Linked DNA regions of Anolis sagrei. Each later gene encodes a partner of the first gene's protein in a complex. Links are inferred from orthologs where the notes say so. Each region holds a gene or a part of one and is shown in the gene's direction. Other genes may lie near its edges.

The links. Proteins that work in one complex are often made in the same cells at the same time.
Region 2: CC2D2A (region 1) and TMEM237 share a complex: the UniProt entries of both Homo sapiens proteins name them as parts of the tectonic-like complex. The link is inferred for Anolis sagrei from reciprocal best matches to the Homo sapiens genes CC2D2A and TMEM237.

What each region holds. Positions count from the first base shown.
Region 1 is NC_090025.1:108,186,534-108,194,191, forward strand, and holds the start of CC2D2A (coiled-coil and C2 domain-containing protein 2A), read left to right. Parts: upstream 1-4,593; 5' UTR 4,594-4,748; intron 4,749-7,658. UniProt on the Homo sapiens protein: Component of the tectonic-like complex, a complex localized at the transition zone of primary cilia and acting as a barrier that prevents diffusion of transmembrane proteins between the cilia and plasma membranes.
Region 2 is NC_090021.1:164,683,188-164,690,322, reverse strand, and holds the start of TMEM237 (transmembrane protein 237), read left to right. Parts: upstream 1-4,134; 5' UTR 4,135-4,234; coding exon 4,235-4,252; intron 4,253-7,135. Other genes in the region: MPP4 (MAGUK p55 subfamily member 4), read left to right, coding at 1-64. UniProt on the Homo sapiens protein: Component of the transition zone in primary cilia. Required for ciliogenesis.

The sequences.
Region 1 (7,658 bases):
AGCGACTTGCAGTTTCTCAAGTCACTCCTGACACGATAAAAAATTTACAGAAGCACAACCTTGAGGTGACTAAAGCATGAACTACTATTCTACCATGTGACAATAACTTCCTCTGCACAGTCAAAAGTGAGAAAAAGTGCTTTCCCTGTGTTTGTGAAAGTCAAACCATTTACAAAACTATTTTGATGCTAGGGTCCCAACAGGATTCAGGTCATTACATTACAGTTGAGAGTTCTATGGTAGATAAAAATTCCAATGAGAATGTGAGATAATGCCCTGTATTGAACTGCTCATCAATTACTTTGAACAGTTAGGAAAAACTTCTCCCTGGTGAAGACAAAGCATTTTGGGGTAACAAGTAGGAGTGATCCCATGAGAATATTTCTATTATGGAATTGCTTCCTATTTCTATGATGAAATGAAGCAGATATTAAAATTGGCACCAACAGATATAACATTTGATACCTTTTTAATACTTAACATGACATGGGTTTATTGATGCTTTCATGAGAAATTTGGTGAATCAGTAAATGGTAACTGGAGTTTAATGCAAAACATCCAGTACATTCTCGAATTCTATTACAGCAGGCAATAAATCTAACCCTGCAAGTCATTTATCTGAACTCTTAGGCGATAAATATGGCCAGGAAAACCATCTATCTCAGTCAGTGGGTTATATATCATCTACTGTACTGCATCTGCCCTGTCTTAGTTAACGTCTCATCTTTTCTTTGAGTAATTTATATTTCCACATAGCCATTTATTGCTTATAGTTTAAATGCAACATGTAGGTCATTTATGAAGGGAAGAGCACAAATTTCAGAAGTGTGTAATGTTATTTCCATTTTAGACATGTTATACTGCACTAAAGAAAATTTTAAATATATTTATGACCCTTTGTTTCTCTTTATATTTTTCATTTTTGCATTGCTATCTACCGTAAGTGCAACAAAAAGGGAATTTAGAAAATAAAATAAAACCAGGGCCTATCAAAACTGGGATCCAACATATTATTTTCTTTACTAACCTTTAAGTAATTTAAGCTAGTAATGTTGCTTAGTTTGACTGAAATTGGGTTATGTATTTAGGCTTTACCAAAAGGAAAGATTCCTCTAATAAATTCGACTGAAATCAAAATTAGTTTTTTGTCCATTCTCCTCATAAACAAAGTCTTTAGTGAAACAAATACTTTGGTTTTTATTAAATCGCCAATGATAAAAGCAGATTCCATAGTGTTTACAAAAGTATTAAAAAATAAAATACAATGAAACCCAAGACAGCAGCTTGAGCAATCTTGCAGTAAGAGAGTAGTGAATACAATAGCAAGTTGTATCAATTGATGAAAGTTAAAATGCCCTGGCCAGAAAAAGAAAAGTTTGAGCAAACAAATGATTGCAACTTTGTTATTCCCATGGGAGATATCTGAAACTTCCAAGAGATCTTCAAGGGCAGCCCCAGCCATGGTGCATTTCCCTATATTTAGGCAAACGAGGCCCCCAAACCCATGATTCTAGCCAGATCTTGTATGTGGCATCAGCCTGACCCATACTGCTAGTGCTGAATTGTGTAGGATGTTGAAAAATGATGGACCCAATTTTAACCCAGTATATCTCATGGTGGGAACATGTTACAGTTACACCAAGTTGCAAATGGTTCTTACCGAGTTACCGTGTTTTAGTAGCCATTTGTTTGGGAAAACCAGAATCTCCATAATCTTTTGGAGAAAAATGGCACTCTCAATCATTTAAAAATCATACTTTACTTATTTATTTATTATTTATTTATTATTTGCACTTGTTAACCGCCACTCTCAGCCCGAGGGCGACTCGTGGCGGTGTACAGAACATAGAACATAAAGACAACAGTTTACAATAGATCGGGACCATAACACACATCTTACTAATACACAACTAATTAAACTAAAAATCCGCTTCGTCTTGTTTGGGGTCATAATCAATCTCGTAGTCATAATCCATTCCGGTGGTCATTCCAAAAACATAGCACTTAGTTGAAGGCCTTTTCGAAGAGCCAGGTTTTCAGGCCCCTGCGGAAGGCCATGAGGGAAGGCGCCTGTCTGATTTCAGCAGGAAGGGAGTTCCACAGCCGGGGGGCCACCACCGAGAAGGCCCGCTCTCTTGTCCCCGCCAGGCGTGCCTGTGAGGCAGGCGGGACCGAGAGAAGGGCCTCCCCGGATGATCTCAAGGTCCTCGTGGGCTCGTAGGCCGAGATGCGGTTCTCAAGGTATTTTGGGCCGGAACCGTTTAGGGCTTTGTAGGATAACACCAGCACCTTAAATTGGGCCCAGTAGCTGATCGGCAGCCAGTGGAGCTGGGACAGCAAGGGCGTAGTGCGCTCCCTGCGTCCCGCTCCGGTTAACAACATGGCTGCCGCGCGCTGGACTAGCTGGAGCTTCCGGGCCGTCTTCAAGGGCAGCCCCACGTAGAGAGCGTTGCAGTAGTCGAGGCGGGATGTGACCAAAGCGTGTACCACCGTGGCCAAGTCAGACTTCCCAAGATACGGGCGCAGCTGGCGCACGAGCCGAAGCTGTGCAAATGCTCCCCTGGTCACCGCTGAAACCTGGGGATCCAGGCTCAGCGATGAGTCCAGGGTCACACCCAAGCTGCGAACCTGCGCCTTACTTACTTAGATGATCCCTCCTTGGCCGAGTAGGATAGTCTTCCAGGATCAGAATTCTTGTGAGTCTGTAGGTGGCTGTGGAGCCCTATTCTTGATCTGCATCTTCTTCCGCAGTGAGGGCATTGGTTTTCAGGTGGAAGGTGGTCCCGGTTGGGTTAGCTTGACGCTCCTTCCTCTTGGCACGTTTTTCTCTTTCACCCTCCATTCGTGCCTCTTCAAATTCTGCAGTCCTGCTGGTCACAGCTGACCTCCAGCTGGAGCGCTCAAGAGCCACGGCTTCCCAGTTCTTAGTGTCTATGCCAGAGTTTTTTAGGTTGGCTTTGAGCCCATCGTTAAATCTTTTGAAGCTACAAGGCCATTAAAAGCTGATCAAGGTGGCCAATTGCAACATTCACACTTGCCTCAAGCAGACAAGAGTTCTTTTTCCCATCCTGGACACTCCACAGAGATATAAACCTCACTTGCCTAGTTTCCAACAGACCCCACAACCCCTGAGGATGTCTGCCATAGATGTGAGTGAAAGGTCAGGAGCCATACTGCTCAGAAAACTCACAGCAACTCAGGAATTCCTGTTTGCATTTGCAGATCTCAAGAGCTAGTAGCTTGGGGGAGGTGGTGGAGGGGGGGCGATTCTGTGTGGGATGTTTGTTGGTGGGGTTCAGAATGCTATTTGATTGTAGGTGAACTATAAATTCCAGCAACTACAACTCCCAAATGTCATGGTCTGTTTTTCCCAAACTCCACCGGTGTTCATATTTGGGCATATACTCAATCCGTGCCAATTCTGGTCCAGATCCAACATTGATTGAGCTCACAGTGCTCTCTGGATGTAGGTGAACTATAACTCCCAAACTCAAGGTCAATCCCCACCAACCCCTTCCAGTATATTCAGTTGGTTATGAGAGTTCTGGGTGCTAAGTTTGGTTCAATTCCATCATTAGTGGCAGGCCCATAGCCAGGATTTCGTTTTGGGGGGGCTAAAAAAAATTTCGGGGGGGGGGGTTTCGGGGGGCTGAGTCTGAGTGAAAGAGGGTCTAGCCTAGCAAACCTTTTGTATCATTACCCCAATACCCCCATGCATATGGGATATATTGAGTATGGTGATCAGATCATGATATGAATAAACATAACAGTTTAAATAATGCACCAGTAAGGCCTTTTCGCGAACCACCATGAGAATTTCGGGGGCTACATGCCTGATTAGTGGAGTTCAGAACACTCTTTGATTGTAGGTGAACTATAAATCTCATCAACTACAACTCCCAAATGTCAAGGTCTATTTCCCTCAAACTCCACCAGTGTTCATATTTGGGCAGATACTCAATCCATGCCAAGTCTGGCCCAGATCCATCATTGATTGAGTCCACAGTGCTCTCTGGATGTAGGTGAACTAGAACTCCAAAACTCAATGCCCACCAAACCCTTCCAGTATATTCTGTTGGTCATTAGAATTCTGTGTGCCAAGTTTGGTTCAATTCCATCATTGATGAAGTTCAGAATGCTCTTTGATTGGAGGTGAACTATAAATCCCATCGACTATAACTCCCAAATGGCAAAACCAATCCCCCACCTCACCGGTATTCAAAATTTGTTTGTATTGGGTATTTGGGTAAAATTTGGTCCAGCAAATGAAAATATATCATTACGATTCATAACAGTAGAAAAAAATACAGTTATGAAGTAGCAACTCAAATGATGTTATAGTTGGGAGTTGAGAAGGTTGAGAATCACTGCACTAGAGAGAAAAAATCCACTTCTAATCCGGTTTCTGCCTCCTGCAGAGTTCTGGGGTTTGTAGTTTAGTGAGGCTGTTAAAGGTACCTGAGTATATAATGCACTGTGGAGGAAGAAGACAAACACAGAGATGCTGGGCTTCTTCCTTCCCTCTGGGCTGGAGGAAGGACGAAGGCGGGCCCAGTGCTGAGGCCTTTGAGGCCACTCTCTGAGCTCCTCCTCCTCTTGCTGTTGCTCCTCCTCCTCCTCCCGCTGCTTCTTCGTTGCCAAGCGCCCAGGCTGAAGGCGGGCTGAAGGCGATTACACCGGGAAAAGGCCTTCGTTGCACGGCTGGGAAACCTTCTCGTGACTCCCCGCCTTTCCTTGCAAGCAAAAAGGTAAGTGCAACAAGAGCAACCCGGGGAAAAGCGCGCGCTCTTCGCGTTCGAAGCTCGTGCGCGCGGAAGGAGTTCCTCCCATTGGAGCTCCTTGCAATTATTGAATTGTGGGGAGGCCCCAATAGAGCAGGCCCAAGGCCCTGTAGAACCACAGCTCCCAGCACTGAACCCAGCTATATTCATTCTGTAGTCTAGCTCAGCCTTCCAAAGTCTCCCTGCTACAGCATATATTATTCTGCTGTACATGCAAAGACCTCTTTGTCTGCTATGCATTACAAACTGCTTGTGCCCCCCCCCCCTTTTTTAAAGTGGAAGAAACTACAGTGAGAAACTACCTACTTTATCCACCCTTTCTCCCCAATTTTCCATTATCGATATATTTATTTATGACATTTATATGCCGCCCTTCTTGCCCTGAAGGGGACTCAGAGCGGCTTACAAGATATATATACATACAATATATTATATTATTAGCATAGTACCATATCAGTATTATATATTACTATATTGTACTATACCATTTATATATATTACTATATTACTATTATTTACTATACTCTCAGCCTTATCAGTGATTCAAGGCGGTACGATATAATATAGTATATGTAATTATAGTGAATTTTCCTTCCAAGGGGTAGATTTCTCGCACTTTCTGTTGTCTCATTTCTGTTCTTAACTATGAGTCATTTGTGAAGTCAGATGTTTGTAACTTGGGGATTGCCAGTACTTTCCTCAATAGCTGATCCATGTGGTTCATCACAAATGTCACTGCCAATACATTAATTTTTTTTAAAAAAATAGAAACTTAGGAAATTAGTGGTAATTAATTATTGCAACTGAATTTGCCAAAGTTAGAACTGTATCTAGATTTGAACAGCACCAACACTCGACTTCTGTAGTGATTAAATCTGTCTGGATGGCCATCCATGGGTACTTTGAGTCTTTTTTTTTTTTTTTTAAATAATCTTTATTGAAATTTTCCATACATAGTATGTTTATAGGTAAAAAAAAGGAAAAGAAATAGAGAGAAAATAAAGAGAGGAAAGAGAAAAGAAGGAATAGAAAATTGATAGTAAAAAGAAAAGAGGGGTAGAGATGGGAGTAGAGGATAGATAGGAAAATAAGTTATAGAAGGAAAAAAAGATAGGATAAAATAGGAATATTTCGACCTCCTGGTGTCTTCCAAAAATCTTCTGTTCATTCGGTTTCATCTTGTCATAGAATATACAATCTAAGCAGAAAAAAAAAAGAAAAAAAAAGAAACAAGGAAAAAAGAAAAAGTTTCTTTATTCTTCTTCTCTTCTGAGATTTCTTTCCCCTCTTTTTTCTTTTTTTTGAGTTTCATCCTTAATTTCTTCTTTTCTCCTCTAAATCCTTGTCTCATTCATCTTTTTCCTTAGGTATTCGGTGACTTCTTTCCAATCTGTCTCTTTTCTTCCACTTTCCTTGTTTTTCAATAGTAGAAAAGTAAGTCTATCTAGGTTACTAATATCCAGCATTTTCGTTCTCCAGTCCTCTTCTTCTGGTGTTTCTATCTGCCTCCATTTTTTTGCATAGCACATCCTTGCCGCCGTTAATGCTAAGAATAGTATTTTGTCTTTATTGTTTTCTATATTGTTATCATACATTCCCAAGAGAAACAATTCTGGTTTCATTGGTAAATTTATTTTTAACATGTTTTGTAATTCTTTCTGTATCTTCTTCCAGTATTCTTTCGCTTTCTCACAGGTCCACCACATATGGTAGTAGGAGCCTTCTTTCTTCTTGCATTTCCAGCAGGTCGAGCTTGTGTTATTATATATTTTCCCTAATTTTTTTGGAGTTAAGTACCATCTTAATGACATCTTGATCCAATTTTCCCTAAGGTCTGTGGCATATGTGTATTTTAATCTTTTCCTCCAAATTTCTTCCCATTCTGATTGTCTAATATTTCTTCTTAGATTTTCATTCCATCTTTTCATGTAGTTTTTGTCTTTTTTGGATTCTAGTTGCCATTCTAAAAGCTGTTTGTATAGTTTAGTTATCGGTTTCCTTTCTGTTTCTAGTATTTTATCCCAAAAATCTTTACCCTTTGAGAACCCTACTTCTTTATCTAATTTATACTTCTCTTTGATTTGCCAGTATTGTAGCCATGATATTTTTTTATCTATAGTGATTAGTTCCTGTTGTTCCTTTAATATTACCTCTCCTTGATGGTTTTTCAAGATTTCTTTATATTTTGGCCAATCATTCCATCCCATACATCTCCTTTGAGTTGCCTCCAATGGTGAAACCCATAATGGTGTCTTTGTATGGAATTTCTTTTTATATTTTTCCCATACTTTCGAGATTGCGGATCTCACAAAGTGATTTCCAAAAAATTTTTCTTTTTCCCTTCCCTTGTACCAAATGTAAAGATGCCACCCTCCCCTTAGGTCTACTCCTTCTAATGTCAGTAATTTTTTCTTTTTTAGCATTGCCCAATCTCTGGCCCAGACCAGTGCGCTTGCTTCGTGATAAAGTTTCAGGTCTGGCGCTGCTAGTCCTCCCTTATCCTTTTGTTCTATTAAATTATTATAATGGATTCTTGGTTTTTTGTTGTTCCAGATAAATTTCTTTATATCTTTATTCCAATCTTTAAATAATTTCATATTTCTTATTATTGGCAAATTTTGAAAAATAAATATCATTTTCGGTAGTATTTTCATTTTAATTGTCGCTATCCTTCCTAATAGTGATAAATTTTTATTTTTCCAGTTTTCCATGGAAAACATGGGTACTTTGAGTCTTGTGTTGGCTTAAGGTGGTTGGACTAGGTGTTCTTTGGGGGTCTCTTCAAACCCTAGTAAAGTCTAGACTGCTTGAGAGACCAGTGGAGTCTCCTTCTCTGGACGTTTTTGAACTGAAGCTGGATGACTGTTTGGGGGGCGG
Region 2 (7,135 bases), on another chromosome or scaffold:
TCGAGCACAGGACGAACCTCAGTGGGTCCCAGCAACATGGATTTGCTCAGAGAATCAGCCATAATTTCCAAGACTAGACAGATTTACACTGATTGTATAGAGTTCATGCTTCACTACAACATTAATCATAATGCTGGGACTGCCAGATAAAATATATCTTTGTTTAAAGGGATTTTGGAGATGATTCAAGCAAGAAGCTATAAAATTCTTGGACATAGTCCATATCACTTTGAGCCAGGAACTAAAGCTTAATAAACCAGCAACTGAGCAAGCAATATGCTGATGCAATTCACTCCTTTTTGGTGTAGGGAGATAAACAAAATATTTTTGGGGTTTTTTTTGTCTAAACCAGTGGTTCTCAACCTGTGGGTCCCCAGATATTTTGGTCTACAACTTCCAGAAATCCCAGCCAGTTTACCAGCTGTTAGAATTTCTGGAAGTTGAAGAACAAAACATCTGGGAACCCACAGGTTGGGAACCACTGGTATAAACAAACTAAACTAGACAATTATAGTAGTATTATATTGCTTTAATTGCCACAGTTCCACCTTACGGGGTCCTGGGATCTGTAGCTTGATGTAGTATTTACTGCTTGTGATGGCAGAGATCTCTAGGGCTGGAGTTCAGGATAGTTCATTAGAAAACCGTCACCACCCAAATCCTGTGGGATGGAGTCATGGCCATTAAACTGTGGATGCATGCCAGAATCCACAAGGCAGTAGCACACCTCATTTCACTGTCTGGTTTATCAAACCAAAACTCATGGCTTAAAGTGAAGAGAAATGAAACCACTATGTGATGTGGTGTCCTTAAACACTGTGTATTCAGTAACATTAATTTGGTTCCAAAACACTGTTAGGTTGTAGTGTCAGAATGTAATGTAATTGTTATGGGGAAAAATTAAAAGAATTTATTTTGTTGCATTTATCTGTTTGAGCCAGTTGTAGTCATCATATTGTTTTCCACATTTGGGGATTTTGTAAGATTTCTTCTCCTTTCAGCATTCAGAAGTTTGAGAATTCCCTCCCGCCCCCAAAAAACATAAGTTAACAAGACAGTCTTTTGTGCTATAAACTATCTCTTCTTGGTTGTTGACAGTTATTTAGTGGGAATGACACCAAGGAAGAGGAGTTTTCTTTGCATTCATTTCTGGCCTTGGCCAATTCGCAAACATCAAGGTTCCAGGATCACTTTGTGACACCATGTGACCCACAGAAGGAAAAGTGCTGCAAGAATGGCTGTTAGTCATCTCAAGATGCTCCAAGGATTAGGGTTAGGGTTATTAGTCAATCAGCTCCTGATTTGTCTGATAAAACCTTGGGACTTTAGGCGATCCCTCGCTATTCGAGTAGGATTGTCTTCCAAGATTGGTGTACTGGAGGTGGATCCGTAGGTGGCTGTGGAGCCCTATTCTTGACCTGCATCTTCTCCCGCAGTGAGGGCATTGGTTTCCAGGTGGAAGGCGGTCCCGGTTGGAGTTGGCTTGATATGCCTTCCTCTTGGCACGTTTCTCTCTTTCACCCTCCATTCGTGCCTCTTCTTTTTTTTTTTTTTTAATAATTTTTTTATTGATTTATCACATTTATTACATACTATTGCATTTTATACATCAACCTCTTTAACATGTTGTTTTATTGTTTTGCTTTGACAATTCCCCTCCTTTTCTCTTTTTTTTTCCTTTTTTTTCCCCCCCGCCACAGTACTCCCCTCCACCCGTCTCAAGCCACCATTCTTACATTTCATCTGTCCAAAATTTCATTTCTTCTTGTGACGGTAATTTTCCTTCCTTATTTTTTAATCCATTCGTGCCTCTTCAAATTCTATAGCACTGCTGGTCACAGCTGACCTCCAGCTGGAGCACTCAAGGGCCAGGGCTTCCCAGTTCTCAGTGTCTATGCCACAGTTTTTGAGGTTGGCTTTGAGCCCATCTTTAAATCTCTTTTCCTGTTCTCCAACGTTCTGTTTTCCATTCTTGAGTTCGGAGTAGAGCAACTGCTTTGGGAGACAGTGGTCAGGCATCCGGACAACGTGGCCAGTCCAGCGGAGTTGATGGCAGAGGACAATCGCTTCAGTGCTGGTGGTCTTTGCTTCTTCCAGCACGCTGACATTTGTCCCCTTGTCTTCCCAAGAGATTTGCAGGATTTTCCAGAGGGAGCACTGATGGAATCATTCTAGGAGTTGCATGTGTAGACAGTCCACATCTCACAGGCATCTAGCAGGGTTGGGAGGACAATAGCTTTATAAACAAGCATCTTGGTATCCCTACGGATGTCCCGATCCTCAAAGAGGACCTAATCTACAACTGAAACTTGGTGCCGTCCAGAGGGCAACTTGGTGACTGACATTGTACAACAATTCCTTGAATATAAACAGATTGTAACAGCTGGCTTAGAATGTAATGACATATCGCACATACATATGTATTTATTTATTTACAGTATTTACATACCACCTTTCTCAGCCCTTGGGGGGGCTCAAAGCGGTTAAATGTTTTTCCCCTGACATTAAGTCCAGTCGTGTCTGACTCTGAGGGTGTAGTGGTCATCTCTATTTCTAAGCCGAAGAGCTGGCGTTGTCCATAGACACCTCCAAGGTCATGTGGCCAGCATGACTGCACGGAGCGCTGTTACCTTCCTGCCGGAGTGGTACCTATTAATTTACTCACATTTGCATGTTTTCGAAGTGCTAGGTTGGCAGAAGCTGGGGCTAACAGCAAGAGCTCACACCGCTCCCCACATTCGAACCAGCAACCTTTTGGTCAGCAAGTTGAGCAGCTCAGTGGTTTAACCTGCTGTGCCACCGGAGGCTTCTTAGTAACATTATGTGACATGATTTTTGTTCCTGGGTTGTAAATGTCATTTCCTTTTTCTTTTCTTTCAAAAAGATAATACACCAACCATATATATTGCAGAAATATACAGGGTTAGTCAAAATGCATAGGCCAATAAGCCATTCAATTGAATGGCTTATTGGCCTATGCATTTTGACTAACCCTGTACACATACACATACACATACGTAGACAACCCGCCACCCACAGTAGTTACCCCTCAACCCACCCCCAGTGCTATCCGCCACCTTGGCTTCTGTCACTGATCCCCGCAGGATTTATGCACATCTTGTTTAACCCTCTATACTTCTAATTCAATAAATTCCTCTTGTTTTTATTTCTTTAGCTCTCCCATCAAGTATGCTAAGGCCAGCTTCCAGTTTCTTTCAAATATTTCATGACTTTCATATTTTAAATTGCTAGAAATCTTAGCCATCTGTGTGTAATCCCACAGTTTATCCTTCCAATCATTGATGCTTAATGTTTTCTCCCCTTTCCAGTCTTTGGCAATTGTAATGCGTGCAGCCACAAAGCTGTACAAACAAAATTCTCTCTCTGGTTGTTCAGTGTGTCCCCAGGTGTTTTGGCCTACAACTCCCAGAAGTCCCAGCCAGTTTACCAACTGTTAGGATTTCTGGGAGTTGAAGGCCAAAACATCTGGGGACCCACAGGTTGAGAACCACTGATCTAATCTATCCCTGAATATCCCTAATAGGCACATCCCTGGGTTCTTTTTTTTTACTTTGTTGTGAATCATTTTATTTGTTTCCTTTATTATTCTTTTCCAATAGACCTGCACCAGTTCACAAGCCCACCATCCATGAAAAAAGTCCCTTTCTTTGTTTTGCAATAAATGTCATTTCCTAATTGGTTCTATTATAAAAAAACATGGGGAAAGTTGATGAAATTGCAAAAACTTTGTTTTGGCGGGACATTCTGCAGCACATTTTGCTGTAGTCTTTCAATGACTAGGCTGGATCTACACTGCCATATAACCCAGATCATCAAAGCAAGATAATCCACATTGACTGCTTTTAATAGTTTTCCTCACAACTGAATAAAATCCTACTTGGAACTGGGATATATGGCAGTGTGGACTCAGGTATTCCAGTTCAAAGCAGAGATTGTGGGGTTATTCTGCCCTGATATTCTGTGTTGCTTAGTTGTCAACACATCCAGATGGCATTGGAAGAGTTGGGTCTGTTTACTTGCCTGGTCTTGCAATCTCAGGGTTGCCATGAAATCCTTTGGAGGGGTTTCCCTGGCCGAGTGTTGCGATTGGGGGAGGCCTTGGTGACGTTTTTTGGACTTCCTTCCCTTCCCTCCCTTGGAGACCGGGAGGCGTCGCCTGCCTGGGAGAAAGAGAGAGAGAGAGAGAGAGAGAGAGAGAGAGGCCTGCAGCGCCATGGAGACCGCCCGCCCGGTGAGGGGAATGAGAACACGCTCTCGCCGCGCGATAAAAACCCTGTCCGCACCGGGGCTGAGGAGTGGAGGAGGGGAAGGGCTCCCCCGCAGAACACCACTCAAGACCATCGGATGGGGCCGCCGCCTTAGCTGCCTTCAAGCCTGTGTCTCTACACCAGGCCTGGGCCAACTTAGGCCCTCCCTCCAGGTGTTTTGGACTTCAACTCCCACAATTCCTCACAGCCTCAGGCCCCTGGGCCTGAGGCTGTGAGGAATTGTGGGAGTTGAAGTCCAAAACACCTGGAGGGAGGGCCCAAGTTAGCCCAGGCCTGCTCTACACAGTTTGTATTCTGAGGTATCCATCGCCATCTCGCTTTTGTGTGTGTGCCTCCCTGAAGAGAGATGAAGCAGGCCTCCCTCTATACTGCTGCCCTAATCATGCAGATTGAACTGGATTATAAAACAATGTAGACTCTTCAATACAGGCAGCCCCCAGGTTACCAATAAGAAAAGTTATGTAGGTTTGTTCTTAAGTTGAATTTGTATGTAAGTCGGAACAGGGACGTGATTTAAGTACAGGGTGAGGCTGCATAACTTCCTTTTTTAAAATGCGTGCCATTCATTCGTTTGAAGACGTAGCGGAGCGCTAGTGGTCTCGTTCGAGAGGCGGGAATATAAAGTTTTGTCCTGACACAGTTCAGTCGCCATCCTGCGTTGGAACAGGGAGGAGTGTGCTTTGGCCATTGAGGCCTACTTTTCAAGCAGATTTGGAGTGGCCAGCCCACTCTCCAGAGTTGGCCCCTTGTGATTTTTTTTCTATGGGGTTTTTTGAAATCCCGTGTTTATGTGAACCGTCCAAGGACCCTACAAGATTTGAAGGCCAACATCCAGGAAGAAACTGCCAACATCACACCTGCTATGCTGGCAAGAGTCATGACCAACGCCAAAAATCAGTTTACTCAGTGTATGGAAAATGGGGGACGTCACCTACCTCATTTGATCTTCAAAACGACGTAAAAGAAAACTTTACGTTATAAATTTTTTTAAAAAAATTCTGATTCATACAATGGGTTTTATTAAGTTTTGAAAAAAGGAAGTTATGCTGCCTCAGCCTGTGTAACTCCAGCCATATATACCCACACACATATATACTGTATTTTCTTATGCTATCTAAAGCTTGCATATACATGTGTGTGTAACTCCAGACAAATGTGTGTGTATACAAATACACATACACACACATATATATACACACATACACATATATACATGCATACACAAACACATGTACACACATATACACACATACATATATATATATACACACACACATATATATATACACACATACATACATACACACAGATATAGATACATATATACACACATATGCACACACACACACACATATATATATACATACATAGATATACACACAGATATGTACACACACACACATGGATGGAGTTACACTTAACTTCATCCAGCCAAGTATATGTGTGTGTGCGTATACACACACACAAATAATAATAATAGAAAATGAACACACAAAAATACTGTGGAACTTTCGAATCTGGACTGACAAAGTTTTGGAACACAATACACCAGACATCACGATTGTAGAAAAGAAAAACGTTTGGATTATTGATGTCTCCATACCAAGTGACAGTCGCATTGAGGAAAAACAACAAGAATAACTCAGCCATTATCAGGACCTTAAAATCAAACTGCAAAGGCTCTGGCATAAACCAGTACAGGTGGTCCCAGTAGTCACTGGCACACTGGGTGCCCTGCCAAAAGATCTCAGCTGGCATTTGGAAGCAATAAACATTGACAAAATCATGGTCTGTCAACTGCAAAAGGCCACCTTACTTGGATCAGTGCGCATCATTCAAAAATACATACGCTTGGGAAGTGTTCGACTTGTGATTTTTTTGATACGAAATCCAGCATATAGGTCTCGTTTGCTGTGACATGCTGTGTTTTTGTGTCAGTACAATAATAGTAATAATACCTTTAACTTTGAAGGAGCTGGGGGTGGCCATGGCTGAGAGGGAACTCTGGCAAAAGCTGGTCCATGAGGTGACCAAATGAATAAACAACAACAATAATAACTTTATTTTTGTATTCCGCCTCCATCTCTCCGAAGGTACTTGGGGCGCCTTACATGGGGCCAAGCCCGATCAAGACAGTTAAAATATGACACATTAAAATAAAACAACATTATAACAGAATTAAACAGGCATCACATATGGAGTTTCACAAATATATATATATATATATATATATATAGAATTGAATAACTATCGTCATTGTGCTACTGCACAAAGAAATTAGAAATTTCCATAAATGCTTTCCCCAGCACACACTCATCACTCCACAACTCACACAGCCCTCAATGCCACACCATTGTGAAACCCAGAATATCCTACAATATCTGCCATATATCCCAGTTCAAAGCAGACAATGTGGGATTTTCCACCTTGATATTCTGGGTTATATGGCTGTGTGGAAGGGCCCTTTGATTTATGGCAACCTTGTAAATGAAGTATCTCCCTGCCATCAATAGCCCTGGCCAGACCTGACAGACCCCTTCCACAGCTTCCCACATTATCTGCTGGGATATATAGCAGTGTGGACTCAGATAAACCGGTTTAAAGCGGATATTATGGGACTTTCTGCCTTGATATCCTATGTGGAAGGGCCCTCTGAGCCTTCCCTATACTATCCAAAGGATGCATGCTTTTGTGTGTGTGTGTATGAAGTTGCAATTAAATAATATATTTGTTCTGACGCATACAAATTCAACTTAAAATCAAACTTATAGAACCCAACTTGGGGGCTGCTTATATTATATTTTTGCAGTACATTCAGCCATGCTACTTATATGTGTCATGCAGAA